Callithrix jacchus: one gene and its partners. The protein of the gene in region 1 interacts with the protein of each later gene in a biochemical or structural test. Links are inferred from orthologs where the notes say so. Each region holds a gene or a part of one and is shown in the gene's direction. Other genes may lie near its edges. The genes, in order: RBSN, RAB5A and RAB5C.

Evidence for each region.
Region 2: the proteins of RBSN (region 1) and RAB5A form a complex in vitro, tested with the Homo sapiens proteins (3 studies listed by BioGRID, with this or other methods). The link is inferred for Callithrix jacchus from reciprocal best matches to the Homo sapiens genes RBSN and RAB5A.
Region 3: the proteins of RBSN (region 1) and RAB5C form a complex in vitro, tested with the Homo sapiens proteins (2 studies listed by BioGRID and IntAct, with this or other methods). The link is inferred for Callithrix jacchus from reciprocal best matches to the Homo sapiens genes RBSN and RAB5C.

Annotation. Positions count from the first base shown.
Region 1 is NC_133516.1:72,081,076-72,091,641, reverse strand, and holds the start of RBSN (rabenosyn-5), read left to right. Parts: upstream 1-4,633; 5' UTR 4,634-4,752; intron 4,753-4,806; exon of another isoform or gene 4,807-5,609; intron 5,610-7,687; 5' UTR 7,688-7,836; exon of another isoform or gene 7,837-7,853; intron 7,854-8,092; 5' UTR 8,093-8,264; coding exon 8,265-8,412; intron 8,413-10,566. UniProt on the Homo sapiens protein: Rab4/Rab5 effector protein acting in early endocytic membrane fusion and membrane trafficking of recycling endosomes. Required for endosome fusion either homotypically or with clathrin coated vesicles.
Region 2 is NC_133518.1:58,457,808-58,468,142, forward strand, and holds the start of RAB5A (ras-related protein Rab-5A), read left to right. Parts: upstream 1-4,493; 5' UTR 4,494-4,860; intron 4,861-8,173; 5' UTR 8,174-8,266; coding exon 8,267-8,429; intron 8,430-10,335. UniProt on the Homo sapiens protein: The small GTPases Rab are key regulators of intracellular membrane trafficking, from the formation of transport vesicles to their fusion with membranes.
Region 3 is NC_133506.1:121,570,493-121,580,868, reverse strand, and holds the start of RAB5C (ras-related protein Rab-5C), read left to right. Parts: upstream 1-3,700; 5' UTR 3,701-3,801; intron 3,802-3,983; exon of another isoform or gene 3,984-4,443; intron 4,444-10,376. UniProt on the Homo sapiens protein: The small GTPases Rab are key regulators of intracellular membrane trafficking, from the formation of transport vesicles to their fusion with membranes.

The DNA of each region.
Region 1 (10,566 bases):
TCTCAATGAGGCCTATGCTGACCACCCTATAAGTCCCGCAACCTGGCACTCCTTGTTCCCTTTACTCTATTTTTTTCTATAGCACTTACCACTTTCTAATGCGCTATATAATATACTTATTTAGTATATGAATTGTTTAGGATCTGTGTCTCTCCATGAGAATGTCAACTCCCTGAGGGATCAATGTTTGTTTTGTTTATCTCAGGCACTCATGTAGGTAGGTGCTTAATACATACATAGTTTGTTGAATAAACTTAAAAATCACAAGCCTAAGTCATTTGCTGAGTTACAGATTTTAAACTGGAGTCACAAGACAAATGTGTCAGATGCTCTAACATGCCAAACTTTCTTAAATACCTCAAATACTTAAAATACGATATACACACAGGTCATTTCAAATCTGGGTTAAAATTGAGGTTAACTTCTCAACTGGTTGAAGGTGCATATCTCCGGAGATGTATGTCAGGGAATGAGATCTGAAGCTGCAGACAACCAGTGTGACTTTTTCTCATGATCTGAGGACCATGCTGTGACCTTGATTTTCCTCTTCCCTGCCCTTAGAGCCACCATGCAGTTTGTGTGCAGCGCAGTTGGGAGTGGGGTGGGGGTGGAGTAAGTGGATGCTGAAATCCATTCTGTGCCCCACTTGCCAAATGCAGGGCTTCAGTTCCAGCAAAGGGTTTTGTCCATTAGTGAGAAGGGAGTGGTGCCTCTTTCCCATTTATCACAGGCCTGGATGGGCTGGGAGTGGTCCTGCTTTGTCAAAGAAGGTGCTAACCCACTACCTGAAAATTGGTTGGCTTTCCAGCTCACATCCCCCAAGTCAATTCCATGTTTCCTACTTTTCAGGTTTGTTGAGGCTGTTCCCCCACCTACTATTGGATTTAATGAATCTGAGTTCTTTTCATAGACATCCCATCTGGCAAGGCCATGACTCTCAAAGCTATTTCTATGACACCAGATTGGATCTCACACTTCCTATGCTATTGTCTGACTCAGCACGACACAACAGCCAAGGCATCTGAATCACACTGCTCTTCCTTTTTTTTTATTTAACAAACATTTACATAGTCCTTCTCCTGTGCCAGGTGCTGTTCTAACACTTTCCAAATATTAACCTATTCAACCCTCCAACCTAAGAGGCAGGTACTATAATTATTTCATTTTACAGATGAGGACACTGACGCTCAGATAATTTAAGTGACTCGCCCAGGGTTCACGTGGCCACAGGTGGCAGGGCTGGGATTCAAGGCCTGGAGTCTGTGCTGGTAACCACGATGCTTTGCTCCATCTTTGCTTTTTTATTGTCATTCTTTCCCTCCCTCTTCCTCTTCCTTCCTCCCCTCATTTTCTCTTCCCTTTCTTCTTTCCTCATTCCCTGTTTTTTTCCTGAGAGGACCACGGCAACTGCCACCTGCTTCTCCCAGCCCACCATGCCCTTGCCCCGTTCCTCAAGGCAAGGCTCTGCCAGGCTGGCATCACCCTTGTTTCCCTGTGCCAGCAGATGGGTGTGCCAACTCCCTCAACCTGCTGGCTCAGACCACAGTAGCTGGCAGAGGCCTGGGAGCTGGGGCCAGGCCAGCCTGGAGGGCAGCTGGCCCTTCAGGAAGTTATATGATGTGCCTATATCTTCCCCAGTGATGGCTATGTTACCAATATCATAATTTATTTTCTTGATTTTAATGTGATGCCAACATGTCTTGTGCTGCTTGAGATAAACTTAAGACAAATAAGGGGCCAAGAGAAAGTGAAAGAGTGAGATAGAGAGAAGGACAAAAGGATAGAAAGAGACAGAGAACCCTAAGGTAGAGGGCAAGGGTGAAGAGACCCAGCCATCTGAGGTTCTCTCAATAGAAGCAGCCGCCTATGGCTGGGCGTGGTGGCTCAAGCCTGTAATCCCAGGACTTTGGGAGGCCGAGGCGGGTGGATCACGAGGTAAAGAGATCGAGACCATCCTGGTCAACCTGGTGAAACCCCGTCTCTACTAAAGATACAAAAAATTAGCTGGGCGTGGTGGCCCGTGCCTGTAATCCCAGCTACTCAGGAGGCTGAGGCAGGAGAATTACCTGAACCCAGGAGGCGGAGGTTGCGGTGAGCGGAGATCGCGCCATTGCACTCCAGCCTGGGTAACAAGAGCGAAACTCGGTCTCAAAAAAAAAAGTAGTAGCCGCCTACAGTTTTGGCATCGAGGAGGAGTGGCCTGATATTATCCCTCTATGTGTGAATGAACTTTTTTCTGAGTTTCTCAAAGGACTCCTGCTTTTCTCCATAACTATGCGTTTGCATGTGCGGTTCCCCTGGCCTGGAAGGTCTTCCCCATCGTTTCTACCTGAGGTCCACGCTCACGTGCTGCCCGCTTCTGGGAACCCTTTCCTGCATTCCTGCATGGGACTCTGCTGGTCTCTCCTCTGACACCAGAGCATCCGTGTGCACGTACACACTTCCCTGTCTTCAACTAACTGGCTTACACCTCTCTATGCCCAGTACAGGAGTGGTGCCTGGAGGAGGCTGAGAGTTGCAGGAAGTCTATCAGCACTTCACAGAGGAAGGAAAAGTGGGGATTGCGAAAGCCTCAAGGCAAGATTACTCTGGGTTCAAGGCTTACCAGCTGGTGACCTTGGAGAAGTCACCTAACCTCTCTGTGCCTCAGTTTCCCTTCTATAAATTGGGAATAATATTACATTTTGTACATCATTGGGTTGCATGATAATTAAATGAGTTAAGATATGTAAAGCACATAGAACAGTGTTTGGCATGTGCAAATCACTCAGTAAATATTAATTATTATTATCAAAATGGAAATAGTAATAGAGTTGCCTAAAAGATTAAAGAAAGTACTTTTGATGAAGTGTGAAGCATATAGGGAGGTCTTTGTCATTATCATTAACAATATTGAGAGCAGTGTTCAATCCATTGTGATCTCCAAAATTAACTTACAAAGTGAGGCCACATTGCCATTGCTTTTTTGAGCAAATGAAATGATGAATATGATGTTTTTTTCTTTTCTTTTCTTTTTTGAGGCAGACTTGCTTTGTCCCTCAAGCTGGCGTGCAGTGGCACCATCTTGGCTCACTGCAACCTCCACCTCCTGGGTTCAAGCGATTCTCTTACCTCAACCTCCTGCGTGGCTTGGAGTACAGGCATGCAACACTACACCAGGCTAATTTTTTATGTTTTTGGTAGAAAAGAGGTTTCACCATGTTGGCTAGGCTGTTCTCAAACTCCTGGCCTCAAATGATCTGCCTGCCTCAGCCACCCAAAGTGCTTGATTGGGACCTCCGTGGCCTCAGTCATTCAAGAGGTTGGTTTTACTCCCCAAGTCCTGGCTTTTGGGACTTAAGGCAGAGGCTAGCGACGGAGACGGGAAGCTGGGCCTATTGGTTTGCTTCTGACAGGTTGGGAAGCCTCTTCCTTGTCTGTATCAGCAAACAAAGGGAAGTCATTATTCACTCCTGCTGACATTGTAACGTTAAAAAAAATTTGGCCATCAGATTGAGAGAAAAGGCTTTTAAGTCACTGGCATCAGTTTCTTCTGTACAAATGGGTGAACCCAGGCCAAGAGAGGGGAAACGACCTGCTGAAAGCCACAAAGTAAGGTACAGCCACGGCTAGAACCTAGGTCTCTAGATCCCTAGTTCACTGCCCTTTCACTGGTGATTGCTTTCCAAAAACTCAGTGTTCTCCAAGTCTGGAGCCCCATGCCCTTAAATGCAAGGTGATGGAGGCACAGTGCTCCTGTCCAGAGACCAGGTGGGGAGTACTCTTTGAAGGCAGGGAAAGTGAGATGGGCAAAACCAGTTTGCAGGACACCTCCCTACCATCCAATTATCTCACTTAATCTTCACAGCCCTATGAGGCAGAGACTATCATTATCATCCCAATTTTACTCCTGTAAAAGGGGGTCAGTAACACTGCAGGGATGTAAACGGAGGCCCAGGATCGTCCCATCGTTCTCTGCAGCTCTTGCTTCTGGAGCCTGGCCATTGCTAAGGTCCAGAACGTTTGCAGAGCACAAAGCAAATAGGTCTCCGGGACTCGGATGAGGTTCTGCCTCTCTATACCCTATGGTACCCAGCACAGTGTAGGCGCAGAGTAGGTCCTGGCTGATCAGTCGTCCTGCCTTTTGAAAATGCCATCTTTTCCACAGGATTGGCCATGCTGTACACCCCCGAGATACACCTTCTTATACCAAGTCTCCACTCTCACTCATGTGTTTCTATTCCTGGAGTTTGCGTCGCTCCACGTCCCCTGAATATTTTTTCTGTCTCTAGCCTTCAGGAACTTCGACTCCTTGGCTGCCTTATTCTTTGAGCACACTGGTCAAGAGCCAAAGATCTGTTGGCCTCAGCTCTCCCAGCTGTACAATGGAGTGCAGAGCCAGTGGCTGGCTTTGATGCCCTCCTTGTTCGAATCTGAGACATAAGAACCGCACAAAATTACCGATCCCCACCTCCTCTCCACCCCCGTCCCCGCCCTCGTTCGGAAAGCGCCTGCGCAGAAGCCGCCGGCCTGCCCTTCGCTAGTCGAATCTGTATCCGTCCTTTTCGCGCCCTCGAAGACTCGGCGCTCGACAGGCGTCTGTCTATCAGCGCGCCTTACGGTTGATTCGCCGCCGCAGGCGCGCCTGCCGAGTGCCGAGCTACCGATGGAGATGGCGTCTGCAGCTGTGTGAGGAGCCGTGGAGGCCCAGAACCCGGGCCCAAAGGACTGGACAGGCCTGCGTGCCTGCAGGAGGCCGGCCGGGTACAGAGGGTCAGGCCCAGTCTGAGGGATGGGGACACGGCTTCTCTACAGAACGGAGACGGGGGGTCCTTTGTGGGTGTGGGCCGTGTGTGGTTGTGGTGGGTGTGACGTGAGTGGTGGGAGATGCCGGTTTCAGGCCGTGCGTTTCGCTTGTGTGTGACTGAGGTGATTGGGCTCTGTGTGGTTGTGCGGTTACGTGGGGCGTATACACTTGGGTTTGGTTCTGCAGCTGTGGGGGAAGTGAGTGGGTGTTTGTCTTCCGAGTGGCTGTGTTTGGTTCTCTGGTTGTGTAAAGCTGAAGCGTTTGTATTCTGAATTCGTATGGAGATGTTTGGAGCGTTTTGTGTGATGTCTGTGCGATGTGTGACGTTGTCATCTCTGCTCCACGGGGTTGAGTCGTTCGTCTTGTGTATGGTCATGCGACGTATGTATATTCGTGCTAGTGGCTGGGCGCAGTGGCTCACGCCTGTAATCCCAGCACTTTGGGAGGCTGAGGTGGGCCCATCATCTGAGGTCGGGAGTTCGAGACCAGCCTGGCCAACATGGAGAAACCCCATCTCTACTAAAAATGCAAAATTAGCCGGGCGTGGTGGTGAGCACCTGTAATCCCAGCTACTCGGGAGGCTGAGGCAGGAGAATCACTTGAACCCGAGAGGCGGAGGTTGTGGTGCGGTGAGTCGAGATCTCGACATTGCACTCCAGCCTGAGCAGCAAGAGCGAAACAACATCTCAAAAAAAAAAAAAAAAAAAAATCGTGTTAGTTGTGTGGGTTGTGATCATGTGCAGTCGTGAACACGGGTTGAGTGCGGCTGTGGGATGTGTCCTCGTTGTGGGCGAAATTCATGGTGGATGTAGTTGCAGAACATGTAAGTATTGCGTGTGTGTTTTTTTACTTTTTACATGATTTAGAGTCGAGGGGCTTGCATATGTGTTCAGTTATGGTTGTGGAGTCCGATTCAGCGGTTTATATTAATTTTTTTTTTTTCTGAGACGGAGTTTCGCTCTTGTTACCCAGGCTGGAGTGCAATGGCGCGATCTCGGCTCACCGCAACCTCCGCCTCCTGGGTTCAGGCAATTCTCCTGCCTCAGCCTCCTGAGTAGCTGGGATTACAGGCACGCGTAACCGTGCCCAGCTAATTTTTTGTATTTTTAGTAGAGACGGGGTTTCACCATGTTGACCAGGATGGTCTCGATCTTTTGACCTCATGATCCACCCGCCTCGGCCTCTCATGGTGCTGGGATTACAGGCGTGAGCCACCGCGACCGGCCTATATTAGATTTCTTTATGGCGTATGCTTAGATGAGTTTAGAGTTCATTCATTTGTTCATTTCATTCATGGAGCTTTATTGCGTTTCTTCATTATGTGTGCCAGGTACTGCGCTAAACTCTGGGGAGACAGCAAAGGGGAAAACATATAGAGTCTGTGCCCGCCCTCACAGATTTTACAGTCTTACTTAGTTACTTCACATATGTACCTACAGTTATAAATTGAGATGAGTGCTGTGAAGGAGAAGTCCATTCTGATGCCTTGAATAAGAGGCATTTCTTTGAGGAAGTGAAGTTTGGTTTTGGGCTGAGGCGTGAAGGGTGATTGTGTAGCATGGTTGTGGTGGGCTTTGTGTTTGATTTGTGGTTGTTAGAGGTGAGTGTATGGGTAGGAAGCGAGCTGTCAGAGTCAGCATCAGATGAACCACTGGCTGGGGAGGGAACAGGCCAGACCTAGAGCTGCTATATTTCTTTGGAAAAAAGGCAGGGATCTGCATGTATGTAGTCACTGGGTTTCTTAACTAGAGGGAAAAAATAGGGACCTGGTGTTTCATTTGTTTATTTTCTGAGTTGCTGCCACCCTTCAGCTTTGAGGACCAGGCAGTCCCTCCTCGGTGGTCTTCTACAGTCCATCCAAAGCTAAGGGTAACACATCCCCTCTCACTATATACTGTGGCTTGTAGCCCCAGGTTCTTGGGGAGAAATTTCTCCACTTTTGTGAAATGGTTTTGTCTAGATTTCTCCTGTGACTGGGAGTCTTTATGAGGTGACACTGGAAGTGACTTTACCATGGGTCAGTAAGAAAGAGAATGCAGCTTATTAAGCCCTGAAATGTTTAGGCACCAAAGCCTTTTATTTATTTATTATTTATTTATTTAGAGACGGAATTTCGTTCTTGTTGCCCAGGCTAGAGTGTAATGGCGTGATCTCAGCCCACAGCAACTCTGCCTCCTGGGTTCAAGTGATTCTCCTGCCTCAGCCTCCCAGCAAGCTGGGATTACAGACACCTGCCACCATACCTGGCTAATTTTTGTATTTTTAGTAGAGATGGGTTTTCGTCATATTGGCCAGGCTGATCTTGAGCTCCTGACCTCAGTTGATCTGCCTGCCTCGGCCTCCCAAAGTGCTGGGATTACAGGTGTGAGCCCCTGTGCCTGGCCAGCCTTTTATTTTTGAAGTAGTGGAGAAACATTAGGTTTGCTACTCAGTTGTCACTTACTGGCTTTTAAGATCTATTGGTGCAGTGGCTCACATCTGTAATCTCAGCAGTTTGGGAGGCTCAGGCAGGAGGATCGCTTGAGGCCAGGAGTTAGAGATCCACCTGGGAAACAGCAAGACCCTGTCTCTATAAAAAGTTTAAAAATTAGCTGGGTGTGGTGGCATACTCCTGTAGTCCCAGCTACTTGGGAGGCTGAGGCAGGAGGACCACTTGAACCCAGAAAGTTGAAGCTGTAGTGAGCAGTTATAGCTCACCAGATGACAGAGCAAGATGCTGTCTCTTAAAAAAAAATCTAGTAAGCCCATTGGAGATAAGTGCTCTATAAATATAAAATATATTTTTTCTTTTTGACTAGTAGATTTCTAATTTTTCTCTTTAACTGGTGTTAGGATTTTTGTTTTTTTGTATTTTTTTATGGCAGATACTATATCTTTTTCATCTTTGCATTTCTAACACAGGTGCCTTACAGGTGTTAAGAACTTACCATATGTGGTCAAGTAAACAATCAAGGTAAAGAGCGTCAAGTAAAAACTTCTAAGTACTTCAGACACTCCCCCAGTGGCTAAAGTGGCATACAAATTTTGAAGTTGAATCATTTGGAATGAATGTAAGAGAATTGTCAAGGTATTTGCTTTTTTTCAAGAATCTGTGCTTCCTAACTTTACTGAGTTGTTGTTGTCCAGTGATGTTTTTACATCTTAGGTTTTGCAGCTTGGTTGGGCTAAGGATTTGAGAGTTTGTTTTCTCAAACTTGCACTGAACAAACAAACTTGCACTGTTGTACTGTGAAAAGAATGAAGAAAATTCTCAGTTGCTACCAGTTTGCCTGAATTGGCTTTTTTCCTTCTTCTTTCCTTTCTTAGGGCTCCTCCTATTCCAGAGAGGGAACCTCATCCAGGACCATGAAGCTACTTCCTCACCATCCGTATACTACTTGATTAAGCTAATGCTGCAGGAACCATGGTTCCTTGGAAGGAATCAAGCTGATTCTTGGCATGAGATCCCTGCTTTCTTAGGGTTGAGAGGGGTACTGCCATGGCTTCTCTGGATGACCCAGGGGAAGTGAGGGAGGGCTTTCTCTGCCCTCTGTGCCTGAAGGATCTGCAGTCTTTCTATCAGCTTCATTCACATTACGAGGAAGAGCACTCAGGGGAAGACCGTGATGTCAAAGGGCAAATTAAAAGTAAGAAGCGAGGAGCTTGCCTATCCCCTGCTGTCAGTGAGAGCTTTAACTCATGGGATAGTTCTTATCAGCTTCGGCGTTGCCACAGGAATATGATAATAGTAGTAGCAAACAGATGACTGGTGTTTGTCATGTGCCAGGCATTTTCAGAATCTCCCTGTTTATTAATTTCATTTAGTCCTCACAATAACTTTGTGGCTGTGAGCCACATTTTGCTGATGAGGGCACACAGAGAGATTAGATAACATGTCTAAAGCCACTCAGTGAAACACAGTCTGTCTTTGAATCTAGTAAATGTAATCACTGTGATCTGGCTTGACAGTTCTCTGACCACCAGCCTAACAGGGTTTGAAGAGGAATTTCTTTCCTTTGCTATGATGGTGGAGGCACATTATACACCCATTTTACCTGTCACAGATTTAGGCCTTCCCACCATCCTTTCTTCCCCAATTGGTATCTTGCCCTCTATACCCCAGAAAAAGGAAGGTCATAGTTGAAGAACAAAGAGAAACAATCTGAAAACTTTGGTTTTTGAGCTTCCAAGAGCTCAGATCTGAGCGAGTTGTGGAAAGAATTCTTCAAAGGTACTTTTGACTATACATACATTTATTGTATTTCCTGGACTTGAAATTCTAACCTCCAAATAAGATGCTGCTCCTCTTGCTGGGCACAGTGGCTCACGCCTCTATTCCCAGCACTTTGGGAGGCCAAGGTGGGCGGATCACTTGAGCTCAGGAGTTCAAGACCAGCCTGGGCAACATGACAAAACCCATTCTCAAAAGAATTTTTAAAAAACTAGCTGGGCATGGAGGTGTGTGCCTGTAGTCCCAGTTACTCAGGAGACTGAGGTAGGAGGATTGCTTGAGCCCAAGGAGGTCAAGGCTGTAGTGAGTGGTGATTGTGTCACTGCACTTTTGCCTGGGCAACAGAGAGAGGGATAGAGAGAGATCCTGTCTCAGACACACACAACAAAGCTGTTGCTCCTCTGGAACTTACTTTCGTGGTTATTCAGCTAATTTGCTTCTCACAGCTGGCAGCATTTCTGAAGGCCATGAAATTAAACAGTTCCGGACCAGGTGCAGTGGCTCACGCCTGTGATCCCAGAGTCTTTCTGTTTATTATGTCCCTCAGGGCAGATCACCTGAGGTCAGGAGTTCAAGACAAGCTTGGCTAACATGGTGAAATCCGGTTTCTACTACAAATACAAAAAATTAGCTGGGCCTGATGGTACACACCTGTAATCCCAGCTATTTGGGAGGCTGAGGCAGGAGAATCGCTTGAACCCAGGAGGCAGAGGTTGCAGTGAGCCAAGATCGCTCCATTTTACTCCAGCTTGGGCAACAAGAATGAAAGTGCGTCTTGGGGAAAAAAAAAAGTTCTGGATGCTCTATTCACAGACTTTATTGAGAGGGAAAGAAAGGAATGATCATGTATTCCTAAGTGGACTTTGGTCTTCAGACAAGCGAATCATATACACTTTGTAATCAGATATTTGTGCCTAGAGTCCCACTCTATCTCACTTTTCTGTTCAGTAAAAAAAAGTTTCTGAAAACATAAACAAAACTAAAAAACCGCTAACAAAGGCAAACATTTCTGAAATTCTGAGAGCTATGATGGATGAGGTGGCTTCTGGCTGTAGAGGTTGTAGAGCAGAGCCAAAACTATTAGGAGGGGAAAAAAATGCTGTGCTTTATAGTTTTTAAGAGTTTCTTTCACAGACATTATTATTTCATCTGACTTTCCTAACTTTGCAAGAAAGTGTTGGTCTCGGCCGGGCGTGGTGGCTCACACCTGTAATTCCAGCACTTTGGGAGGCTGAGGCAGGCCGATCATGAGGTGAAGAGTTCAAGAACATCCTGGCCAACATGGTGAAACCCCATCTCTACTAAGAATATAAAAATTAGCTGGGCATGATGGCACGTGTCTGTAGTCCCAGCTACTCAGGAGGCTGAGGCAGGAGAATCGCTTGAACCCGGGAAGCAGAGGTTGCAAGTGACCCGCGATCACGCCATTGCACTCCAGCCTGGCGACAGAGCGAGACTCTATCTCAAAACAAAAACAAACAAAAAGAAAGTGATTGGTCTCATTTTATAGATAGCAAGTGAAGTGAGGCTCAAGAGACATTGAGTTACTTATCCACGGTCACATAGGAAT
Region 2 (10,335 bases), on another chromosome or scaffold:
CATCTTCAACAGTTTGAAAATGTTCATCATAATATGTTAGGAAAAAAAATGAAGAGTTTTTTTTCCTTTTTTTTTAGTAGAGACAGGGTTTCACATGTTGGCCAGGCTGGTTTCAAACTCCTGACTTCAGGTGATCTGCCTGCCTCAGCCTCCCAAAGTGCTGGGATTACAGGCATGAGCCATTGTGCCCCAGAAAGTAAAAAAGTAGCCTGATGTGTGAGTGCAGTGGTTGTTCACAGGTGCGATCCCACTACTGGTCAGCATAGGAGTTTTGATCTGCTCCGTTTCAGACCTGGGCTGGTTCACCCCTCCTTAGGCAACCTAGTGGTCCCCAGCTCCCGGGAGTTTACCATATTGATGCCGAACTTAGTGTGGACACCCTATCGGCATGGCACACTACAGCCCAGAACTCCTGGACTCAAGTGATCCTCCAGCCTCAGCCTCCCAAGTAGCTGGGACTAAAGGCACGCACCACCGTGCCTGGCCATAAATTCTTTAAATGACTTTGCAGTGTGTAAATCAAGGCAACTTTGTATAAGGGCTCATTCAATTCATTCATTCGTTCTACAAAAAGGTATTGAGTCCCTCCCCATTTTGTGTCAGTGTTGGGAATACAACGGAATACAGTTGGCCCTCTGTATTCTGTAGAAAGCATTTGAGTTAAAAAAAAAAAAAAAAAAAAAAAGGCAGTCGGTCATGGTGACTCACACCTGTAATCCCAGCACTTTGGAAAGCCAAGGCGGGCAGATCACCTGAGGTCGGGAATTTGAGACCAGCCTGACCAGCAAGGAGAAATCCCATCTCTACTAAAAAATATAAAATTAGCCAGACATGATGGCACGTGTCTGTAATCCCAGCTACTTGGGGGTGGGGGGGCTGAGGGAGGAGAATTGCTTGAACCTGGGAGGCAGAGGTTGAGGTGAGGTGAGATTGTGCCATTGCACTCTAACCTGGGCAACAAGAGTGAAACTCCATCTCAAAAAAAAAAAAAAAAAAAGCAATATAAAATAATACAAATTGAAAAAAACACAACTATTTACCTATCATTTACATTGCATTAGGTATTGTAAGTAATCTGAAGATGATGTAAAGCATACAGAATAGCCTACATGTAAATACTACGCCATTTTATGTGAGACTTGAGTATCTGCAAATTTTGATACCCACATGGTGGGGGAATAGGGTAGTATCCAAGAACCAGTCACCAGCAGATGGACTGACTATATAACCCAATCCCTATCTCATGGAGCTTATATTCTAGTAGGGATAGATAACCATCAAGTGGAACGCATATCTTATCAAATAGTGTTAAGTGTTATTTGTTAAGATATAGAAGACATGAAGACAACAGTCTGCTTTTATGTTTAAGAAAGCACTTTAGAATTAGTGGACTTAGAAGTCCTGTAGGTAGGTGACATTGAGCTAAAGCCTGAATGATGTTCTCCAAAGGCACAAGCTTTTCAAACATGACTAGCTCAAGCTTCACAGCCTTTTTCACTAACTTGTTACCATGCCAATGTTAGAGTTACCGTTGGTTTGTCTCCAGAAAAAATTTTGAATTGTCTCCAGATAGTTCCAATTAAAAGTAAATGAAACCATTCATTATCATCTATTCAAAGATTCATTCTTCAGCTACATAAGGGAGGACAGATTTCCTGGAAGAGATGGAAAAGGATATGGGGTGCTGTGAATGGTTGGGAGACACCTGCCACTGGGAATTTGTGATTGAGTATTTAGAGATTTGAGGGCAGTATAAGCACTAATGTTTAAGTCTTTATGATTATTTATCCATTTTGTAGCTTCCTTAACAAATTCTATCAACTGATAGGATTCTACATTTGACACTAAAATATATACAATTATCAGTCCTCCTCATTTATCTGGGGTTATGAAAAAGAAAACACAGACATATTGCAAGTGGCAGTACAACAGAGCTTTACCATGGCATTTCAATTTCTCTAAAATTACTACCGGATCTTTAGAAGTGCCAGCCACCGGGGCAGCACTCTTCCAGGCAAACATTATGACTAAACTGTAAAATATTGTGAGATATATTCATGAAGGAGGTGAAGACAAAATCAAACAGAAACGAGTGAGGAAGCAACATACTGAAACGATGAAATAGGGAGGGTTTTTTTTGGCAATTTATAAATTTCAGCATCGAATGTTTTAGTTGTGAGGTCTTCTTAGTCTAATGTTCACCATTCTAAACATAATTAAGTTCACCAATACTTTGGGGGTCTCTACTATAGCAATCAAAGGTCTTCTGTGAAGAGCTGAAATGATGAATAAGTGATAGTCCCAACCCTTAAAAACCTTATAATGCAATGAAAGGCTAAGGAGAAAAGTTCAGGTGCTCATTAACTATTAAAATAAGGCCGATTTTAAGACAGTTATTATAGAGACTAAGGCAAAGTATTGTGAAATTATAGAAAAAAAAATAATTGAATCCAGTAGAAGTATCTGCAGATACTGTCCAGAGTAACTGGTATCCTGGCTGAGATGGAAACAGCAGTTATGGGCAATAATGGTGTTCTAAGTGTAGGGAATAAAGTGATCAGATACCAAGATGGCAACACATAGGCAATATTCAGGGAACACAGAGTAGATACGTGTGGTTAGGGGACAAATAGTTTGGTGAGAGGGATTCTATAGAAATGGAACGAAAGAAACATGGGTTGGGACTAGAGTTAAAAGAACTTTAGAGTGGCAAGTAATGAGATACCACTGAACATTTTTTAGTAGAGTGACTGGCTAAAGTGTAAAGAATGGACAGAAAGAGCAGCAGTATGCATTAATTCCAGTTTATTTATAGAAACACTACCGTGGACGAGGTGTTGGGATTAGACCTCAAATTTGGGGATTATATAATTTGTTGATGGAATGGACAACGGTTTGTGAGGAGAAGGAAGAGCTGAAGATGATTCTGCCTTTCCAAGTCTGGGTGACTGGGAGGATGTTAATGCCAGTCTCTAAGCAGAAGCAGGTTTGGAGTGGAATAGGTTTGGTTTTCGCATGCTGCTGACATGACTGATGAGACATATCCTATTTCCTGGTTCCTCTTGGGATTGTCCAAGAGCTATTACCATGACTAACAGTTCATATTGGAACTCCTTGTAGATAAAACGCCACAGGTACAATTTACGTATGACACACTACGTTCTTCTGGCACTTGGGTAGTTACTATGAAAGACTGGCTGTTCAAAGTTCAAATCATCTTCATGGCACAATGCCGACTGCGCACCCACAGGATACCTTAACCTGGTGCGCTTCAAAGACAATATTCTCGCCCTCACAACAGAGCTATACATTGTAAACTGCAAACTGAAAAGTAGCCTTTATTCCAAGGGAAAGATCAATGGAATATTCTTCAACCAAATTACCAAAACAATTTTTTTGGCAGGGGCTGGGGCAGAAGCCTCGCCAGAGACTGATTGTGGGGTGGGGTCCAACAAAAGCACATCTTCAGTAGGTCCCCCGTGTAGGGGAACGAAGGTCTTGGGTTATCTTTCACCAGAATTGTGTTCAGCAACTCACATTCTGGAGCCAACCCGCAGATTAGAATTCAGCTTCGGCACCACCCAGCAGTGATCTCGGACAAATTAACATCTTCTGCCTCAAATTCTTTACCTGTAAAACATCCATCGCTGGGACTGAAGACTTGGCTGCCAGGCACTGGGCTAGATACAGGTTTACAGCGGTGAGGACCACTAAGGTGAATTAAAATTCGAATGTAGGGAACAGGCGTTAACAAGTTATTTTCAGAATGAAAGACTCCTAGTGTAAGAATTCAACGGGATAATTCCTGTAAAGCATTTAGTGCAGTAAAAAAGCTAGATACTATTTTAGGATTTGACCCTACCCGCCCCCTACCAAAACCAGGTAAACTCTCAGTGGAAGCGACTTATTGTTACGCGCCTAAAGGCGACTTTTGGGATAGAGAGGGCCCTCTCTTCCTCCTTAGGGTAAGTGCGATTTACCAGTCTTTATCGACCCACCCAACCCCAGGGACGTTTTGAGGGAAGAGGTTCTGTGGAGTTAAGACGTCTAAGTGCCCTCTAATAAAGCCCCTTCGCAAAGGTGCCAGATTGGGGTGAGGGAACCTCTCTGCTCCCACAAGGGCTGGGCACAGAAAAAAAAACAAAACACAAGTTCTTTTGGTCTTCTCCCAAAGGAGAGTAAAGGAATTTTCCCCGCCCCCAGCAGCCTGCAGCCCAGAGACCCTCGCCCAGCTAACAGTGGCGCTGGAGAGGGCGTGCCCCGCGCATCTGCGGTGGGGGAAGGGAAGAAAGGCGGCCAGAGCGGCTCAGAGCCTCTCGCAGGGTCACGTGACATTCTGCCTCGCCCCGCCCCGCGAACAAACCAGGGCGGGGAGGGATTCGGGAAGGGGCGGGGAAACGGCTGGAGAGGGCGGACTGGCAGTGACGGGAAGTGACGAAGGGGCGTAGTTCGTTGCGTGCGGCGACGTGGCGGTGGGGCCGACACCGGGCAGCGGAAGTGGCTCCAGCGGTGGGACCTGAGTGTTTGTGTTTTGGTTCGTGAAGGAGCCGGCGGCTGGCCTGAGGGGAGGAGGCAGAGGGAGGAGGAGGCAGAATTAGTCGGAACTCGAGCGCCGGCGGCGGCGGCGGAGGAGGAGGAGAAAGGAAAGAGGAAGGCGGAGCGGCGAGAGGCGGAGACGGAGCCCGACAGGGGCGGCACCACAGCAGGAGCCCCGCACAGTCCAGTGTGAGGGGAGCGGCGCGAAGAGCACACACCACCGCCACCACCACCACCGCCATAGACACACTCGTCCCACGGGCCACGCCTGGGCCTTGCTGCCAGGAAGCTTCGGCCCCGCAGCTCCGCTTGCTGCTGTCTCAGGTAACCGAACCGCCCCTCCCCCTGCGCAGCGGGGGCATGGACCCCACGTTATCCGCGGTCCCCAGCCTGTCCGCGGCCCTGCCGGCACTGAGACCCCCGCCCCTTTTCCCTCACGCGCACCAGTGTCCTGGGCCAGAGAACTTCCGAACTCAGCGTCTTGTTCTGCCAGCCCTGGTGACTCATCCTCAAGGGGCTCTGGAGACCGGGATTTGGGGACTGACTGAGGGAGCGACGGGTGTCACCCTTTCCCTTCTCAAGATGGCGCCGTGGAAAGTGTACTGGAGGCCGCGGTTCCGCCTGTTCCCTGTCCTGGCAGTTCTGGGGGTCTCGGTCAAAGCCGGCTAGGTTCGGGGGAGGAGGTTGGAAAGGCCAAGGGACCTGGCGAGTGCTGCTTATCCAGGAGAGCTGGAGTTGGCTATTAGCTACTCAAGTGCTCTCCTAGCAGGAACCCGGGCCTACTGCAGGTGTGAATGTGGGGAGCTCCGCCTACTCTCAACTTCCAAACACCGGTGGTGGAGGGGGTGGGGGCCTTGTCAAAACAGCCTGTCTAGAGACTCGCCTCTTATATATGTGGAAGGTAGTGTATTACGGCTCTAAAGAGATTCAAGATAACAGGACCGCTGAACTCCTTCACTGTGTAGAGACCTTGAAAGTTGCTCTGATGTCTTCCCTGGAAGCTGCTTTACCTTCTGAGACTTCCAAACTTTTGAGTTCAGAACGTCATAGTTCGCATATTTAATTTTTGTATCGCTTTAGTGGAATCAAGGCGTTCAATCAGTTGTTGCCTTACACATAATGAGACAAAACAGTTGCACCTCTGGGAATACTGAGGATTGCTCATAAACTTTATTCCTATAGTAAAATGGAAGTGATAACTCAGCATTTGTGTAAGCAAAGTACACGGAACAGTGCCCGGCACAAATTAGTAAATTTTTTGATCAAACAACCCGTAGAAGGATTTTAACTATAGAATGAATAACAGTTATTTTTAAAAGATTATAAATGTATATTTTGCAAGATTCTTGTTTTGCAAAACGAGTTTCAGTAAGAAGTGAACACAAATGAATGCACTTAATTTTTAACCTTAGTGTTAGGCTAAGTGTATGTTTACTATTAAGTTATTTCTTGTTTGAGATCCCTGGGTGGGAATGGGGGGCTGGGGGTCGGGGGAGTAACCACAATTGAGTAGCTTTGAACCTTAAAAGTCAAAGTGAAATCAGAATCTTGTTTGATTTTGATTTCTTTTTTTTTAGTGAGAGAGTGGGAGTCTGCTGTCCCTGAAATTTTGGAAGTACCTTAGAAATTTGGAGCATACTGTCCCTGATAAATAATTTCTTATTTAGTAGTTAAAAGGATAAATGGAAAATGTTTCAGTTGATACTTAGTGTATAATATCTGAAGATGTGTTGGTACATTTTCAGAATATATGATGTTCTATTGGTATTTTATCATTTTCTTATCAAAGGACCACATTATAGGCAATTTCAGTCCCTACTGTGTGTATTAGAGATTATTTACATGTGTTGTTTCATTTAATTCTCACAGCAGCTATGCAAGTTAGATATTATGGGAATAGAGACTTGGAAATTAAAGAGTTTGCCCAGGCGGAAATTGGTGTCGCCAGGATTAGACCCCCAAATCTAGTGTTTGTGGGGGAGGGGGCATTTTTATTTATACCTTGTTATTTGGAAGCAACTCAGATATTCTGTCTTTAAATATTTCAGTATGTAATGGTAAAAGATAAGGACTCTAAAAAGCTGGTGTTTAGTTAAGGCAGGGAGGCAATTTTATTGCCTTAAGAACATCTCATGGATATGTTAGTTCATTATGAAGAGTGTTTTTTATAAACTCAATTTATGAGGAAGGCATATTTCTTTCATTTTTTGTTTTTAATATAGAGACAAGATCCCACTATGTTGCCCAGGCTGGTCTCAAGCAATCCTCCTATCTCACCCCAAAGTGTGGGGATTACTGGTGTAAGCCCCTGTCTCTGGTGCAAAAGACATATTTCTTGTATGAGGTAGCTAAATGAAATATAGCAGGGTTTTTAGAGAAGGAATCATCAGGTTTGATATATTAGCATATATTTGGATTTTGGTTAAAGATAGAAGGAAACTGTGAACATTGGTTTGTGAGTTGATTGAAAAAAGTTCTTCAAATATTCACTAATTCCTTAGAGATTAAAAGTTAGCATTATTAGATAATGGTAACACATAGAAGTCACCATTCAGGCTAGTTTTTTTTACTGTGTTGTTTAAAAAAAAAAATAATGGCCTGCAGGCTGGCCATGGTGACTCACACCTGTAATCCCAGCACTTTGGGAGGCTGAGGCAGGAGGATTGCTTGAGCCTGGGAGTTCTAGATCATCCTGGGCAACATAGCAGGGCAATGTCTGTACTGACAAATGAGCCCAGCATGGTTTTGAGTGCCCTGTAGTCCCAGTTACTCAGGAGGTTGAGGCAAGAGGAGTGCTTGAGCCCAGGAGGTTGAGGTTGCAGTGCACTCCAGTCTGGGTGAGAGAGCAAAATCCTTTCTCAAAAAAATTAAAGTTTATAAAAAATGGCATGCATATTGTTCATCCAAAAACTACAAAAAAGTTAGTTAGTGTAAGTAAATAAATGAGTAATAATCCCACCACACAGAAAACAACTGTTAACATTTCTATGTGTGGTATACTTGAGCAGATGAGGAAACAGTTTTAAGTCTTTCCGCCATTAGGCACACAAACCCAGGTGACTGAAAATATTTGTTGTCGAAATTACCATTAAACATTGTTTAACAGAAGACTTTAAGTAATAATAAATTCTTGGATCTGCTCTAAAAGCTTCTCAGTTATTAATAACATAATTTTTCTCAAAAAAAATGTTAACCCAAGTAGCCTGGCTCTAGAACTTGAACTCTTGAGTCATCTCTCAGGTTCCCTGGATTTGAAACTCAGCTCTGTGTCACTTCTGTCACAGTAACTCTGTGACCTCAAGTAAGCTTTTTCACATCTCTGGGCTTGCTTCCTCATTTATAAGGATTGTAATAATATCTCATTTTATAGGATTGTTGAGAAGTTAAGTACTTAAAGTACTGCCTGGCACAAAGTTGAAGCTTTGAGAGGTTAGCCTTAAAAAAAAAAAAAAGTGATTTTGAGCTCAAATCCTATACCTTTAAATTTCCTGTAAAAGATAGTGACCTATTCTAAAGGATGTTGAAGGTCTAGTAGAGCTTAAAATAATCATAATATGCTATAGGCAAAATTTAAAGTGATTAATAGTAAATTTGCTTTACTGATTTGTACATTTACTTCATAATTGTTTCTTTGCAGGTTTCTTTACCTCCAGAAAGAAGAAGATTGACGCCTTGAATTCTGGAACTTCATTGAAGAGTCTGAAATTAGGGATTTATTTCAAATTTGGACATGGCTAATCGAGGTGCAACAAGACCCAACGGGCCAAATACTGGAAATAAAATATGCCAGTTCAAACTAGTACTTCTGGGAGAGTCTGCTGTTGGCAAATCAAGCCTAGTGCTTCGTTTTGTGAAAGGCCAGTTTCATGAATTTCAAGAGAGTACCATTGGAGGTGAGATATTTTTTTTCCCTGCTTCATTTCATCAAATCATACCTTGACAGAAAATATTTTGATGTTCCAATTGTGTGATTATGAATAGCTAAATAAGTCACAGAGTGAAGAAAAGAGTTATTCAGCTGACCTTAAGCTTTAAAACTTGCCTTTATCTTTGTTGAAACGATGTCTTTTTACATTTGATTGTTTGGTTAATTCCATGTGGTTATATTGTAGCTAAAATATAGTTAAAAACATGAGTAGAATTAGTGTTTCAAGTTATAAGATTTGATCTGGTATCTATTTCTTGCTGATAACTAGAAGCTTCTTCAAATTAATACAGTACATATTTGTGCTCAATTATGTTGGCTTGAAATGAATAGTAAAAAAGGTAACCTTAAATTCTGATCTATATAACTGAACTATTTGAATAATTTATACTTGTCAAATTATTTAAATACTGTTAGATGTACTTTTTTTGTTATTTGAAAGATGGGATCTTGCTGTTGTGTAGACTGGAGTGCAGTGTCAGGATCATACCTCACTGCAGACTGCAGCCTGGAACTCTGGGCTCAGATGATCTTCCTGCCTTAGCCTCCCAAGTAGTTGGGCCTACAAGTGCATGCCATCCTGCCAGGAAAGTTTTTTGTTTTGTTTCGTTTTTTTTAAAGAGTCAGAGTATTGCTGTGTTTCCAGGTTGGTCTTGAACTCCTGGCCTCAAGTGAGCCTCCAGCCTCAACCTCCCAGGTAACTCTGGTTACAGGTGCTCCCTGCTAAGACGTACATGTAAGAATGCTCCTAAGCTGAGGGAAGAGAAAAAGCGATTATCGGAAAGGGACATGACAGGAAAATGGAACGTGGAGAAAAAGATGAAAGAAGGGAAAGAGTAGGCACTGCACAAGGTGGTTATGGCGGGACAGAGATGAGGGGAAGGTAAGATGCAGGGCAAAAAGGGGACAACAAACAGTACAGTATTGTCAAGAGAAGACGTGAAGTGCGAAAATTGAATTTTAGCTCGGCATGGTGCTGCATGCCTGTAGTCCCAGGATTATTTTAGCCTAGGAGTTCAAGTCTAGCCTGGGCAACATAATGAGACCCACATCTCTTAAAAAAATACATTAACTTTGATTAAAGAAACCTGTAATTATTTAACACTGGGACAAGATAGCCTCTTTTGTGCCTCTGTTTTGTCTGTGAAATGATGCTTTTCAATAAGATGATGTGTGGGAAGAACTACACAGTTTGAGATTCACAGTATTTTGCATATATATATATATATATATAAACAATGCTGTTTTCCAAGGTATTTATGTATATATTTTAACCCCATATTGCAAAATTAAAGTCACACTTTTGAAGTACATGAGACTGGTAGATACCAACTGGCATGTGGCAACTTCTTAGAATCTTTAAGAAGCAAAATTTTATACTGTGCATTTAGTGAGTGCTCTTAGGCAAATACATTTGAGAATGTTATTCATAAACTTAGACCCATTCTAGTAAGATAATTTACAGAACTCTACTACCTCCTGGCCTTTGTGTGTCTTGTTACAATGTTGTATTAGAATGTTTTGTTTTTTTCTAATGACTGAGTATCAGAAAGCATCATGGAGCTTTTATTTCGAGTCAGAAGTCTTGGCATTTTAAAAAATGTTAATACGTGATATATTAGATACCCTTTGTGGTTTTTTTTTTTTTTTTTTCTGAAGGCACATCCATATGTGATTTTTTTTTTTTTTAGTAAGACAAAAAATTATTTTTTGTTAAAAGTTTTAGTAAAATGTTAAATATTATTTTACTAAAATATTGTTTTACTAATATTTACTAAAAAAACATTTTAGTAATATAATAAAAACTCTGAAGTACTGTAGTATAGAACTTAATTTCTGCAGAGCTTTGCAAGAACTTAAGACTGGAAATTTTA
Region 3 (10,376 bases), on another chromosome or scaffold:
GCTGATCACCTGAGGTCAGGAGTTCGAGACCAGCCTGACCAACATGGAGAAACCCCATCTCTACTGAAAATACAAAATTAGCTGGGCATGGTGGCACATGCCTGTAATCCAAGCTACTTGGGAGGATGAGGCAGGAGAATCGCTTGAACTCGGGAGGTGGAGGTTGTGGTGAATCGAGATTGTGCCATTGCACTCCAGCCTGGGCAACAGGAGCAAAACTTCATCTAAAAAAAAAACAAAAAAACTTTTTTGCCAGACGTGGTGGCTCACTCCCAGCACTTTGGGAGGCTGAAGCGGGTGGATCACAAGGTCAGGAGTTCAAGACCACCCTGGCCAAGATGGTGAAACCCCATCTTTATTTTAAAAAAAAGAGAGAGGGCCGGGTGCGGTGGCTCACACCTATAATCCCAGCATTTTGGGAGGCCAAGGTGGGTGGATCACAAGGTCAAGAGATCGAGACCATCCTGGTCAACATGGTGAAGCCCCGTCTCTACTAAAGATACAAAAATTAGCTGGGCGTGGTGGTGCGTGCCTGTAGTCCCAGCTACTTGGGAGGCTGAGGCAGGAGAATTGCTTGAACCCAGGAGGCGGATGTTGCGGCGAGCCAAGATTGTGCCATTGCACTCTAGTCTGGGTAACAATAGTGAAACTCCATCTCAAAAAAAAAAAAAAAGAAAAAAAAAGAGAGAGAAAAAAAATTTTTTTTTAAAAATTAGCCAGGTGTAGTGGTGCATGCCTGTGGTTCCAGCTACTTCAGAAGCTGAAGTGGGAGAATGACTTGAACCCAGCCTGGGCAACATAGCAAGACCCCCCCGACCTCCGCCATGCCCCAACTCTATAAAAATAAAAAATTAGCCAGGTGTAGTGGTGTGTGTCTGTGGTCCCAGCTACTCCGGAGGCTGAGGTGGGAGGATCACTTGAGCCCAGGAGGTTGAGGCTGCAGCGAGCATTGATCACACCACTGCATTCCAGCCTGGGTGATAGTGATACTCTGTCTCAAAAACAAAAAACCCAGGACATCTGGCTACCATGGGCCAACATTCCATCTGGCAATAATTGAAATCAGCAGGGGCGAAGAGGTGGCCACTGTCCTCCTTAATGGAATCTGCTCTGCGCCCTACTTCGCAGTCACCACTTGCGGTCAAGGGTTTCATGATCATCTCCCGACACCCGGCTAGATTCCCTCGTTTGAAACTTTTGTCTGCTCTCTGTAGGTATTTGAGTTCCCAAAACTTGAGTGTCCATCAGAACTACCTGAGATCCCATTAAAATGTAGATTCTGCCAGGATGGTGGCCCAAAAATAAATAACTAAATAAAAAGTAGATTCCTGGGCCTCACCCAATTTGGAATATCCAGGTGGAGCCCACGGGTGGAGGTGCAACCCCCGCCTCCTTACATAAGAGCCTGTTCCCAGGTCCCTGTGCCTAACAGGTGCTTTTGGGGCCCAGTAGTGTCTGCTTCTACTCCTAGGCATGAGTCTGGCAACATCTCTGTTTCTGTCTCTCTGCAGGCTGTCTCTCAGGCTGGTCTCTTCTGCTACTAGCAACTCAAAAATCCCTACAGCACGCCCTATCCCTCCCCGACCCCCAGACCTCTGCCAAGCCTGTTCTCCCCCATGACAACATGGTTTCATGCAAGGCCTGGATGGCTCCAAAACTCACCCAGGTCTCCAGCTCTTCTCTACCACCCAACATCTTGGGCTCACTTTTGGATAGAAAATAAAGTCTTTATTTTTGTAGTTATTGGCTCTGGGTATATCTGGGGGTTAGTCTGAGAGTCCCAAGGCTTTGGAGGAGCAACATAGCAATCACTCCCCACCCCTACCCCCCTCACCCCCCGCTGTACCCCAGGGCCCCGTTGCTATCTCTAGGAAGGATGGAGGCACCAGCCAATCTATTTGGCACCACATTCACACCACCAGGGGCCCCAGAAATGAGGGAGAAATCTTAATTAATCACTATGGGCCTGTTATATTCCCTTCTCCCCTGCACCTCAGTCATAGCCACATAAACACACAGTATGTGGGAAGAACAGAATCCTGGCTCAGGCCCACCCCCAGCCTTGGAAGGGTGGGCCCAGGGGACTACCCATCCCTCCTGTGTAAGGAACTGTTGCAGAGCTGGGTATGGAAGCGGGGCTGGGGGGAAGAGCTAGCCTGTCAGCAGCCAAAGCCTGCTAGGAATCCCACTCCGCCCCATCCACTCTGTCCTTCCAACAAGCCAACAAGCCCTCTTCCCTCTTCCCTTTCACTTCTCTCATGATCACCTGCACTGGAGTGGGGATTGTGTGTTATGGATGTAAGAAAGAGACACCCTGCTGACCAGATGGAACTAGATGTGGGCACAGTTTTGTGGCAGGTTGTCCCAGAGAGGTCGATTCTCCAGCTGAGGCTCCAGGATATGCCCGGTGTTGGCCAGTACTAGAGGCACAATGGTCACAGCTGTCTCCAGTGAGCTTTGATTCTACACAGGTTTTCAGTAGTGTCCCTGGAGGGTAACATGCAAAGGAAGAGGAGGTACTAGTCTGTGTTGAGAGGTAAGGGTGGGCGGAATCAGGAGCTGGCCGGATCCATATTCAGAGGAGCAGAAGAAACAAATAGTCCTGATCCATATGGGGAGGGGCAGAGTGGGGGTGGTTCTAGTCTTTATTTTCAGATGGAGAGGTCCGAGCCAGAGGTTATCCAGCTCTACATTCCGCGTCAGAGAGAAGAGCTGACCCTGGCTGGGAGCAGGGGAAGGCAGAGGCGGAGATGGTCTTTGCGCCGGCCCCCCCCCCGACACACCAAGTAGGGGGTGGTGGCAGAAGCTCTCCCTTTGATCTCACTCAGCATCCTGCAGAGAACCTTTCCTACAGCCTTTCATCGCTTTCATCGCCTTCCCCATCACAGAGGCCCCCAGCAATCGGGCTTCCCAAGCTGACTTGGCCGGAAAGCGCAGACAGGGGCTGCTCCAGATCAGCGAGTTCACAGGACTGGTCCACGCAGCCTCGCGTGCATATTCATTCGCACCATGTTTTTCCTTTTCCAATTCTGCACACACAGTCCTCTGCCTTCTTCCAACTCTCCGCCACTCGCCTTCCCTCGGGCGTCCGGAACCGGCGGTGACGCGGGTGGCAGGCTTGGCCTTAAAAAGTTCCCGGCCGTAGGCCGGGCACGGTGGCTCTGGCCTGTAATCTCAGCACTTTGGGAGGCCGAAGAAGGCGGATCACCCGAGGTTGGGAGTTCAAGACCAGTCTGGCCAAGATGGTGAAACCCCGTCTCTACAAAACATACAAAATTAGCCGAGCGTGGTGGTGCATGACTTTAATCCCAGCTACTCGGGAGGCTGAGGCAGGAGAATCGCTTGAACCCGGGAGGCGGAGGTTGCAGTGAGCCGAGATCGCGCCACTGCATTCCAGCCTGGGAGACAGACTGAGACTCCTCACAAAAAAATAATAATTCCCGGCCGGGCTCCGCCTCGCAGTCAGCCGGCTCCACCCTAAGCCCAAATCCCAGGCAGCCGCCAACTCCTCCCAGCGCTGCGAACTACAAGTCCCGCCATCCTTCGCGCGCGCCCTCCAACCACTCCCGCGTTTCTACCGGAGCCGCTGGATAGGTCGGCCAAGAGTGCCTTCCATTAGTCCCTCTACCCTGTCAATCACCTGGGTAGTATTGAGGGGCGGGACGGAGGTGGAGATCCGGATCCGGAGCGGCTGAAAGGCGGAAGTGGAGGCCGGAGCCTGGGACACCGCCGGGGGGGGGGGAGAGAAGCGAAGCCTGTCCGAGTCCCGGCCCCAAGTAACGCTGCCGTCCCGGAGCCGCCGTGAGTATGCCTGTCCCCGAACCTGGTGTCTCGCCTGCGTTGAAGCATCTCCAGGGCAGCCCTTACTCACCACCCAGCCCGTTTAGGGGGATAATGACCCCTCCCCCGACCCGTAGCCTCCTCCTAAGGGGTTCCCCAGGCGTCGGGCCAAAGGAGCGGGGGAGCTTCTTTCTTTAGCTTACCTGCCTTTCGTGAGCCTTAAGGAAACTCCTATGACTGTTCTCTGGCCTGTCCATTCCAGTTGTGGGAGAGAGGAACCCTAAGTTCCGCTCGCCTTGCTCCCAGAATCGAAGGATCTTTGCCAGGTGTGAAGGAACCTGTCCTTCTTGTCTTTTAGAAGTGACAGGGAGTGCTGTCTGTCGCCGTTTTCCTTCCTCCTGTCCCACGAAACCAGTTGTCCCCTCCAGCCCTAGAGGAATATGTCGATTTCCTATGGGGGAGGGGGTCGTCTGGGTGAGACCGTTCCACACGCACAGAAGTGTATTTGCGCTTCCACAACTCCTTACTTCCCTCTTTCCTCAAGCCAGAAAACCAACCAGGACCTCAGTTAAAAGTCTGGGTCATTTAGTAGGAATGAGATGTTTTCTTGCTTTGCCCCTTCTGTCTCCCTGCCCTATTCTCTAGTTATGTTGTTCTCTGAGTGTCTCTCTCTTTCTGCCCCTGAAGAATTTAGCTGAGGTTTGCTCAATCCTAGCTACAGATCACAGATCAGGGTGGATATGCCCATTCATTATCTTCTCTCCCCTCCCCCCTTGCTCCAGGCTCAGCTCTGTCCTCCCAGAGCACGTGAGTAGTTTTCAAGCCTCCTCAAAGGGACTGCTTCTCCCGGGACTGCTGTCCGTGTGTCTATAGGCAGGAGAATAAGACCCAAAATGAGGAGTCTGGAGTTGAAGAATTATCTCTTTCCCACTTCCAGACACACACACATAAACCACCCTGAGCAACAGGTCCACACCGCGCTGGTATCTAATCCCTTCTGGGCTTGGACTTATTACTGAGGACTAAGTCAAGATCCCACTGGCAGTTCTGGGGTCTGAATTGTAGCCTGAAGAATTCCCACACATGCCAGAAAATGCTGGTTCCCTCAACCGTATGGACTGTTGCTTGGGGCTTAGGTGTGTGAAATAGCTGCTGTCTCTGACCAAGCTTTGTTATGTGGCCAAAGTACAGGCCCGAGACTGTACCTTAATGAGGAGTAGCCTGTCTCTGAGGCCGTGACTGACCCTTGCTATCTACAGTGGATATGTAGATAGCAAGTGGGATAGATAGTGGGAATGTCTGTAGCTCTTCAGTTTTCTGAGCTACCTTTACCACCCTCTCGTGCTGCTTAAAAGTGCTGTTTTTTGGTATTGAGGTGTTTTTGAGTACTTCTGGACAGTCACTAGTGTCTGATTTCTCCAGTCTTGTGAGTAGACCTAGGACTTATTTCACCTTCCCCCAGCGCCCCCACTTCCCCCCTGCTGGAGTGCATTGGCCCCATCTCAGCTCACTGCAACCTCCACTTCCCAGGTTTAAGCAAATCTCTGCCTCAGCCTCCCGAGTAGCTGGGATTACAGGCGCATGCCATCATACCGGCTAACTTTGTATTTTTAGTAGAGACAGGGTTTCACCATGTTGGCCAGACTGGTCTTGAACTCCTGACCTCATGATCCGCCTGCCTTGGCCTCCAAAAGTGCTGGGAGTACAGGTGTGAGCCACCGCACCCAGCCTACTTATTTCACTTTTTATTGGACAACAGAAGCCTTCCTTATTAGGGTCAACAGCTGGATCACAAGCTCTTTATCTGTGTGGGTTCCTTGGGGGCTCATTGGAGACTTCTTCAGCCAATCTAGTTTTTCTGATCTGGGCAGCCTGGGCATCTGAGGGGCAGGGTCAGAGAGGCCTGACTGCTCACTGGCCATTGGTCTCTGACCAGACTTACGTCTTCAGGAGTGGACCATGGTTTGTCAGTCTTCAGGAGTCCTGGGATGAGACTGACCAGCCTTCTGAGGAGACCTTTTTTCCTTTGTCTGGACATGCTCTTCCAGCTCTGACTCTGAAACAATTTTTTTTGGTTTGTTTTTCTTTTGAGATGGAGTCTTGCTCTGTCACCGAGGCTGGAGCGTGGTGGCATGATCTCTGCTCACTGCAACCTCCACCTCCTGAGTTCAAGGGCTTCTCCTGCCTGAGCCTCCCAAGTAGCTGGGACTACAGGAGCGTGCCACCACGCCAGGCTAATTTTTGTATTTTTAGTAGAGATGGGGTTTCGCCATATTCGCCAGGCTGGTCTCGAATTCCTGACCTCAGGTGATCCACTCGCCTCAGCCTCCCAAAGTCCCGGGATGACAGGTGTGAGCCACTGCACCCGGCCTGAAATGACTTTTGAAGGGGAAGCTCGGCCATTTAGACAGACGAGGAAGGCCCCAGTGCTTTGGGAGAGAATGCAGCTGCTTCTGGCATCCAGAAATTATAGTCCAAGCAGAGGTCTGACTGCTTGGCAGAAAGCTATGGCTCTGTGTGTGACAGAAACCCCTCCTTTCTGATGCTGTTCCTCTCCTGCCCTCTTGCCTCTCATGATTAGTGGGCTGTTAAACTGTAGAGGGGCAATAACACTAATTTTTAAAAATCATTTTAAAGTTACAAAGTTATTTTCATACATATTCCTCACAGGTACCCTGGGAATAGTGGGGTTTGTTTCCCCACTTGTTTTTAATTTTTGTTACTTTTTTCTTTTTTGGAGTAAGATAAGGCAAGTATGTGTTTCTGCTTTAGAGAACATGCTAAAGGAACTTAAGTAGCTTGCTTAAGGTCATACATTTAGAAAGTGGTAGAGCTGGGGCTGGGATTTGGGGTCAGATGTGACCTTATCTTTTAATAGTGGGCCTTCTTTGGCCTGGTTTGTTTGCTAAATGAATGAACATGCAGGGTGAGTGCGCTGCACCACGAGGGCAGACTGTTAATCCTTTAGCCCTCCTCATCACTGGCACAGCTCTCTTCTCATTTTCTTCCCCCACCTCAACCCAAACTCCTGTCTTCTCTCTTGACCCCTTTCTTCTCTGCCTCTGAGGACCAAGACAGGAGTCCCAAGTCAGTCCTTTTCAGGGCCAGACAGTTTGCTGACATCTGCATGCCATTAATTTTTTGGGAACCTGAAAGTCTTAATGGCTAGAAAATGAAAGTTAAAGTGAGTGAACTCAGGGGTCCCTCTGGGCAGGGTTGAGGGGGAACCAGCAGAGGAGGCCTCTGATTAGTCCTCTGTTTCCCTGCTGGTACTGCCTGCTGATTGCAAGTGGGAAGAATGTGGCTGGCCACCAGGAGCTCTGGTCATTAGAATTTACATGGAAACAGAGCAAGATTATACATTTTTTGTTTTTGTATTTTTTGAGACAGAGTCTTGCTGTTGTTGCCCAGGCTGGAGGGCAGTGGCACGATTGGCTCACTGCAACCTCCACCTCCCAGGTTCAAGCAATTCTCCTGTCTTAGCCTCCTAAGTAGCTGGGATTACAGGTGCATGCCACCACACCTGTCTAATTTTTGTATTTTTAGTAGAGATGAGCTTTCTCCATGTTGGCCAGGTTGGTCTCAAAACTCCTGACCTTGTGATCTACCCTCCTCGGCCTTCCAAAGTGCTGGGATTACAGACATGAGCCACTATGCCCAGCCAAGAGCATACGTTTAAATTCAGCCCACCAGGCAAGTACTTTTTTTTACTTCCTGCCCTTCCCCAGGAAACAGGCAGTGTGGTAGGGTGTAAGGCACTAGAACTTTGGAGGCAGTTGGACCTGAGTTCTCATCCCGACTCCCCCACTTATCAGTTGTGTGACCTTGGGCTTGTTACTTGACCTCAATGAGCCTATGTTTCTTCCTGCTTTAGAGAACATGCTAAAGGAACTTAAGTAGCTTGCCTAAGGTCATGCATTTAGAAAGTGGTAGAGCTGGGGCTGGGATTTGGGGTCAGATGTGACCTTATCTTTTAACAGTGGGCCTGTTAAGGTCAGATGTGACCTTATCTTTTAACAGTGGGTAAAATGGGGATGCTAGATACCTTGCAGAATTAGAAACAAAGAAAGAAGCTAGTCCAGTGCTGGCAGAGACTAGAAAATAGCTTTTGCCTCTGATGGGTAGGTAGGGGTTTGAAGGTAAATCATAAAATCATAATTCAACGCCAAGATTCTTTCTTTATTTTATTTTATTTTATTTTATTTTTGAGACAGAGTCTCATTCTGTCGCCCAGGCTGGTGTGCAATGGTATGATCTCGGCCCACTACAACCTCCACCTCCTGGGTTCAAGCAATTCTCCTGCCTCAGCCTCTTGAATAGCTGGGATTACAGGCATTCGCCACCATGCCTAGCTAATGGGTTTTTTTTTTTTTTTGAGTTGGAGTCTAGCTCTGTCACCAGGCTAGAGTGCAGTGTGGGATCTCGGCTCACTGCATCCTCCGCCCCCTGGGTTCAAGAGATTTTCCTGCCTCAGCTTCCCAAGTAGCTGGGACTACAGGGGCATACCACCACGCCCAGCTAATTTTTATATTTTTAGTAGAGATGGGGTTTCACCATGTTGGCCAGGATTGTCTCCTAACTCTGGACTTCAGGTGATCCGTCCACCTTGGCCTCCCAAAGTGCTGGGATTACAGGTGTGAGCCACTGTGTCCGGCCCTAATTTTTGTATTTTGTGTAGAGATGGGGTTTCTCCATGTTGGTCAGACCTCCTGACCCAGGTAATCGAGACCAGCCTTGACACTGATTATGATTCAACATTTGTATCAATTATATGCTGGGGCCTGGTGCAGTGTCTCATGCCCATAATCACAGCACTTCAAGAGGATCGCTTGATCCCAGGAGTCCAAGACCAGCCTGGATTCAGGGCTGTGGTGGATCAGGCCTGTGATCCTAGCACTGTGTTTTTTTTTGTTTTTTGTTTTTTTTTTTAAATGGAGTCTTGCTCTGTTGCCCAGGCTGTAGTGCAGTGGCTCAATCTCAGCTCACTGCATCCTCTCCCGCCCGGGTTCAAGCAATTCCCCTGCCTCACCCTCCTGAGTAGCTGGAACTGCAGGTGCACGCCACCACACCCAGCTAATTTTTTTTTTTTTGTATTTTAGTAGAGATGGGGTTTCACCATGTTGGCCAGGATGGTCTCCATCTCCTGACCTCATGATCTGCCTGCCTCAGCCTCCCAAAGTGCTGGGATTACAGGCATGAGCCACTGTGACCGGCCAGTCCTTGCACTTTGGAAGGCTGAGGCGGGTTGATCCCCCCAGGTCAGGAGTTTGAGACCAGCCTGGCCAACGTGGTAAAACCCTGTCTCTACTAAAAATACAAAAATTAAGTGTGTTGGCGCATGCCTGTAATTCCAACTACTTGGGAGACTGAGGCAGGAACCTGGGAGTCATTTGAACCTCAGAGACATGTTGCAGTGAGTCAAGATTGTGCCACTGCACTCTAGCCTGGGCAATAGAGCAAGATTCCGTCTCAGAAGAAAAGAAAAGACCAGCCTGGGCTACATAATGAGACCTGATCTCTAAAACAAAAGCAAAATGTCTGCTGGGATGCCTTGTACTTTGCTTGATGGTTTCACAAATTGTCTCATTTCATAGACATTGAACAGAATTGATGTGGGTTGAATTCCCATTTTATAGACGAGAACACTGCCACTTCAGTGTTACTCAGTGGAAAGCATTTTATTATTTAGAAAGTCCTGCAGCTACTGTAGATTGGAATGCAGTTTGCATGAATTGAAGCTAAAACAGGAAACTTTAAGATAATTTTTTTCTTGGGACAGGGCCTCTCTCACTGAGGCTGGAGTGCAGTGGTATGATCACCGCTTATTGCAGCCTTGACCTCCTGGTCCCAAGTGATCCTCCCACCTCAGCCTTCCAAATAGCTGGGACTCAGAGTGTGTGTCTGAGGGCAGAGCCACAAGGCTTCTGCAGCTCTGTGTGGTGAGGGAGCACCAACCCCAGGCCAGTACTTAACAAGGCTCAGTGAAAGTGAATTTCCCTCTGCCTGTGGGTGCTGTTTTACATGTCTGCACAAGGCTCGTTCCTGAGTGAAGGTGACATAAGAAAGTGGTGACAGCAGCTGTTCAGACCAGTGGTATGAGCAGCCCTCTCATGTGTATTCCACAGATGGGGTCTTTAAAATTCCCTGATCCTGTGCCTGCACTGCTTGGATATCATCTGCTCATCTTGAGGCCAGTCTCTTGTGGTTGCTGTTCTTGTTGAGACAGATTCTTGCTCTGTTGCCCAGGTTGGAGTGTAGTGGTGCAGTCTCAATTCGCTGCAGACTTAACTGCCTGGGCTCAAGTGATCCTCCTACTTCAGCCTCCCAAGTAGCTGAGACTGCAGGTGTACACCGCTGTGCCTGGCTAATTTTTTTTTTTTTGAGACGGAGTCTCGCTCTGACACCTAGGCTGGAGTGCTGTGGTGCAGTCTCGGCTCACCACAACCTCCGCCTCCTGGGTTCAAGTGATTCTCCTAAGTAGCTGGGATAACAGGCACACGCCACCATGCCCAGCTAATTTTGAGACAGTCTCCCTCTGTTGCCCAGGCTGGAGTGCAGTGGCGTGATCTTGGCTCCCTGCAAGATCCTTGGCTCTC